2 linked regions of the Kluyveromyces lactis genome follow. The protein of the gene in region 1 interacts with the protein of each later gene in a pairwise test. Links are inferred from orthologs where the notes say so. Each region holds a gene or a part of one and is shown on either strand. Other genes may lie near its edges. The genes, in order: SEC65 and SRP14.

Region 1 (3,136 bases):
AGATTATGGATGTCATGTTTGATGAGATTAAACGAATTCAATCCAAGTCTCCAGGTCCATAATCCGAGTCAATATTTAGTGAAACTATATTTTTATTGTTGTTCTTATCTCTCTTCTTGATTCTTCTTCGAGGTTTGTTGGATTGCTCACTCGAGTTTTGGTGATTCAAGACCGTGAAGAACATTTTCTTGTCCCTCGCAAACTCATCCTTCCTAAGTAGGAGCCTTGTCTCTCTTCTCACTACAGGATCATTATTACGATCCTTGATAATTCGTTTCATATCAACGAACGATTTCACGTCTTTCTTACCACTGTTTTCTTTCTTCTTAATGTTCTCTTCGAGCTTTGTATGATCTTGTGGATCATCATCTGATTGTTCCGAGTCCGAGTTGCCCAGGTTCACCTGAGAGAACCTGTCCAAGTATGCATCCGGGAGTACAAACTGCGATTTGTCCATAGTCTTCGGCAGATCTTGAAATAAATCAATGGCCCGCAAATATTGTCGAGACATATCTTCCCCAGTCTCACAGCCGTGCACAATTATGTCCTTGTAATCGTACTTTTCTTTACTTCTGGTCGTCACTGCTTCAGTATTGCCTATGGTGGTACTCTTTAATTTGATCTCAGGCTCACTAGGAATTGTCGATAACGTGACAGTGTTGGTCTCAGCTGCATCCAAATGCAAAGATCCAATAAACCTATCCACCTTGAACAGTAGGTTTTGAAATATATCATCTGGTAAATCCATTTCGTTGACGTCCAGCGCCGTATCATTTACGCCAAGTATCTCACTGTCATTTTCATCGACAATTGTATTTGGATCCTCAATCTGACCCTCATCGGCGGTCTTATTTTCAGTTTGTTGGCCCATTACCGAACTCTCTTTGAGTTTCTGCTGCCAGAACGCATTGAGTTCTCCATATAACATCTCTGTCGCATGGTTCAACGATGACTGGTCCAATTGACCCGGTTGTACCCCTTTCCTATGAATACCGCCTATATTTTCAGAGGCGAGACACCCTGCTTGATCTTCATATATATCGGATGTATTGGGGTCGATTATTGAATTTCTGCTCGGCCACGCGGTCCAATCTTCTTTCAAGACGGTCTTCACAAACGTCTCGGTACGTAATATGTTCTTCTCATCCTTATTCGCTCTATACAATAAGTGTTTCAATAGATGCGCAGAGTATAAATGTACTGAAAGATCATTCCTTTGTTCTTGATCTAGCGTTGCTAACAGATCTATGGCATCACGGGCCAGTTGTGAGTCCATTTTACCGAAACAAAACCGAATAAAAAGGGACCGGTACAATGTTAGCTACCCACTTGAAGTCCAGCGGCTACAATTGCTATGAACTCAATCATTAGTAGCTGTTTGGATTCATGTTAGTTGATCCTCTTTAGTTCTCTATCCCTACTAAACCTTTAAATTCAATTGAAAATTTTTGATGAGCTTTAAACAGTGGATAAGAACGACCACTTCAAAGAGTTGGAAACAAAGCAGCATCAACCAAGCAATAGTTAAGGCTACAGTATTTGTTAGGGATATTTACACACAATGCCTGTGATTGAAGAGATCGATGATATCGATGATATCGATAATTTAGAGATGGATCTCGCAGAATTGGACTCCACGATGAAGACACCAGTGGCACCAAAGATCGTACCCACTGTGGTTAGATCGCAAGATCAAGAAGAAGAAGCATATTCTGCTGCAATTTCTGGTAATGCAGGCAGCGGTAGTGGGTTCAATTTTGTTAATAGCACCACCGGTCAAGTGGAAAAGAGTCATTCTTTGACTAAAGAAGAGCTGGATGAGATCAAAGAATTCCAGATGTTGTATCCATGTTATTTCGACACTAGAAGGACGCATGCCCAAGGGAGACGTGCTCCAAAAGATCTTTGTGTGGAGAACCCATTGGCCAAGACGATAGCAGATGCTGCCAGATCGCTTGGAATTCCATCAATATTCGAAGGATCAAAGACACATCCACAAGATTTTGGTAATCCGGGAAGAGTACGTGTGTTGATCAAGGAAAATGGAAAACCATTTGTGAGTGGAATCGATAACAAGCGAGTATTGATGAAGCGTATTGGAGAGTACTTGAAGAGCCATCCTACAACACTTGAGAGTGTAAAACAGCTTCCATATGGACCAGATTTTGATAACGTAGAACCGAAGAAGATTCCTTTATTGAAGGGAACAGCAATGAATGACATCGTGCCATTGCATAGTCCATACTTGACACAGCATCCAATGACAAAATCGCTATATGATGCTCCTCCACCTCCGCCTCCCGCGCAGCAGGTATCTGCACCAGAGAAACAAATGAAGATGCCAAAGAACAAGTTCCGTGTAGTAAGACGTTAATGGAATACTTCTGTCATTTTTATCACCAAATATCTAAACAAGAAGCGGCGTTTCCCAGTGTCTGTTTTAAATATGTATAATTATATATGTTAAGATAGATTCGAGGGTGATATTATGCAGATGCACCATAAGTTTGACGGTATTGTTCCATCTTTTCCCTTTCTTCCACAGAGATTCTGCCATCCAAGTAGCTGATAATGTTTGACAGGTTGACAATACTTAAAACTGGGATGTCATATCTCTTAGAAACAGATTGAGTAGCACTTAGAACTTCGGTGTCTTCGGTGTTAACCACCTCTTGTCTGTCTAATGCGATAATGGATCCAACAACTTTGCCTTCTTCCTTGGCAATGATCTCAAACGCTTCGTTGATTGCAGTTCCTGCAGTCATGACATCGTCGATGATCAAGATTTTTTGGTCCTTTAGTGCAGCACCAACGATATTACCACCTTCACCATGGTCCTTGGCTTCCTTTCTGTTGAAGGCATACTTCACATCTTGGAATTTCGAACCACCGATTTCAGCTAACTTCACACAAACGATCGATGCTAATGGAATACCTTTGTAAGCGGGACCGAAGATGACATCGAACTTCAATTCAGATTGGATAATGGCAATTGCATAAGCAGTGGCTAAGTTTGAAAGCAACTTACCGGTGTTGAAGAGTCCTAAATTGAAGAAGTATGGTGATACTCTACCGGATTTCAAAGTAAATTCACCGAATCTTAAAGCTTTTGACTCAATGGCCAGTTCTAAAAAGT
Region 2 (2,524 bases), on another chromosome or scaffold:
ATTTGAATTAATGTATTTAGACAATACGCCGCAGCAGCGTTAACGAGAAAAAAAAGTAAGAAATATATATTTCGAAAAGTAACGGAGTGCACTACATTGATCTCCCTGCCAGCGCGCGTCAAGAAAGGGTCCACATTGGAAGTTACTGATGCCGTTGATATCCAAGGGCCTGGACTTAACAGGGCATGAGGATGGATTTATCACTCCGTTGCTGATACCAATCGTAACACAATCTTGCTTATTCACTATATACTACAAATAAATACTAAGAACGAATATCCAATTGGACAAAAAAGCACCTATAAACGATTGTATTGGCTACGCTTAACGGTTTAATGTTTCAATTCTTTTTTTTTACGAATTGTACTGTGGTGAAATCAGCGAGGGACACTGATTCTTTATGAAACCAAATCCAACCAAAAGGAAAATGCGTCAAAGGCTAGTAGGGAGAGAAAAAAAAAAAAAACAAAACAGACACCAATGTCTGATATCTTGCCATCGATTGACAATTGAGCTTCTACAATAACACTGGATACTCCCGGATCTCTCATCAAGGGTGAGAGAATGTACAGTTGATCGATTGAAGGTGTAACATTGCCAACAAAACTCTGTAGCAAATCACGCGATCAACTTACATATCCAATAGGATACCTCAAAAAACAGTCCGTAATCTCCTTGATGACAGAGAAGCTTACACACGCTTCTCTTTAGTGCAAAGTGACAATGACTACCCCCTTTCTGTTTCTCTGTAACTCATCGCATCTCATCTCATCTCGTCTCATCTCATATAGTATGGGGACCTGTTGTTTTTCTTTTTTTTTTTTGTTGGGAAAAACAAGATCGAGGATCGGAAATTTCTTTTTCTAAAAAAACTAACGAATTTCTTTTCGGGTTCAGGTGAATAGGCACAATTGATTTGGCAAATCTGGCGCAGATGTTAAATGTTATCCGGGTAATGAAGAACGTCACGTGGTTTGCCACATTTCATTCTTTTTGCACTTGTTTACCGGTATAGAAACAGAGTGGATATCAGAAACGTCGTAGAAATAAAGAGGAAACACATAGTGAAGGGACGATGGCCGGGTAGTGTAATTGCCAGTTGAAAAAATCGTACTTAGCTCCAGTCAAATGAGGGAAAGGCCTTAGATTCAACCTTCGACAGGCAGAATATGGTAAAGATGTCCAAAGAAAAAGGTTCAATATCATCACTTATCCAAGTCACCAGAATATACAGGTAACTTCCCATTATGTCAGACAAAGATGGAACCGCTAGTGGGCTTAAGGAAACGCCAGATTTCATAAAGAAACCTTTGTCTCATGACGAATTTTTTGTTAAGCTTGAAAAAGCTTTCAGAATGTCCAAGGTATCGCACAATCAGCTCAAAGTAAGCTTGAAAAGAGACTTGGGCAGTCATCACGTTCAAAAACCTAATGAATTGGATGTTACTTCCAATCCTACTGGTGATATCTCAAAGATGTCAGAATCCAAACGTTTAAAACAAAACGCTCAACCAGATACAAAACCATACAGACTTATCGTGCTAGTGAGCATGCCATATGATGGGAAACGAACGAAATTCTTCACTTTGGTAGATTCAAAGACTCTTGATAAATTTTGGAAGGATTATGTTAATGTTGTAAAAACAAGTATGTCTGGATTAATTAAAAAGAAGAAGAAGAAGAAGGGTGGTAAGAAAAACTGATGAAATATTCCCAACCTATTATCACCCATGAATCATAAATCCGCAATCGTGTAGCATTATAAAGTACATGTTATATATACATATATAGATGTCAAACTGCAAACCAGTAATTTGGTTTTCATTCGAACTCCACGACAATTGTTCCCGATGGATAAATTGTCCGTTCTTCCTTGATCACTGTGGTTGGCTCCAAACGGGTTCTGGGCACAGGTGAATATAGTTGAAAGTCATACTGATACTCGTAATTTGGTTTTTCTTGTGTAATATCATTCTCGCTGCTAGTGTCAGATAATAAACCTGCTCTGTATAATGCAACGTATGCGTAAATCTCCTCAATTGTTAATGAAGCATCAAATCTTCTAATAATTCTTTCATTTTCTAGTCTGATGCTTACTCTGCAACCGTCACCCGATGGTTCTGGCACTAGTACAGATTTTCTCCAAGCCAACCATTTCTTTTTAAGTTGGCTTTCCTCGATTACCCTATCCCTTTCCTGGTCCCTTTCTAGCGATTCTTGGTATCTCGAATCTTGTTGTTCTCTTAATAACCGTTGCATTTCCTGGTACTGTCTTTGCCTTCTAATCTCAACTAATACTGAATAATATGAGGCTAATTTGGCCTCAAAATGAGAGAAATCATAATCAAATAGTTGGCCCTCCACTCTGGCAAGCAATTTCATTTTATTATTCCGTTGGGGTCCAAGGGCACCTAAAAATGGAAACTGTCTAATCTTTAAAGAATTAGCAGTCTGTAGCCCTTGTGGTGTTGTAACATCGCAAAACCATACAACGCAATTATATTTGGTGACACATTCTACAAAC

The links.
Region 2: the proteins of SEC65 (region 1) and SRP14 interact in binary tests that used the Saccharomyces cerevisiae proteins (3 or more experiments, as listed by UniProt). The link is inferred for Kluyveromyces lactis from reciprocal best matches to the Saccharomyces cerevisiae genes SEC65 and SRP14.

The regions. Positions count from the first base shown.
Region 1 is NC_006040.1:164,555-167,690, reverse strand, and holds SEC65 (RNA-binding signal recognition particle subunit SEC65), read left to right. Parts: upstream 1-1,561; coding exon 1,562-2,374; downstream 2,375-3,136. Other genes in the region: MDM1 (Mdm1p), read left to right, coding at 1-62; RRN9 (Rrn9p), read right to left, coding at 38-1,276; orotate phosphoribosyltransferase URA5, read right to left, coding at 2,487-3,136. UniProt on the Saccharomyces cerevisiae protein: Signal-recognition-particle (SRP) assembly has a crucial role in targeting secretory proteins to the rough endoplasmic reticulum (ER) membrane.
Region 2 is NC_006042.1:679,342-681,865, forward strand, and holds SRP14 (RNA-binding signal recognition particle subunit SRP14), read left to right. Parts: upstream 1-1,247; coding exon 1,248-1,703; downstream 1,704-2,524. Other genes in the region: clathrin-mediated endocytosis regulator UBX3, read right to left, coding at 1,822-2,524. UniProt on the Saccharomyces cerevisiae protein: Component of the signal recognition particle (SRP) complex, a ribonucleoprotein complex that mediates the cotranslational targeting of secretory and membrane proteins to the endoplasmic reticulum (ER).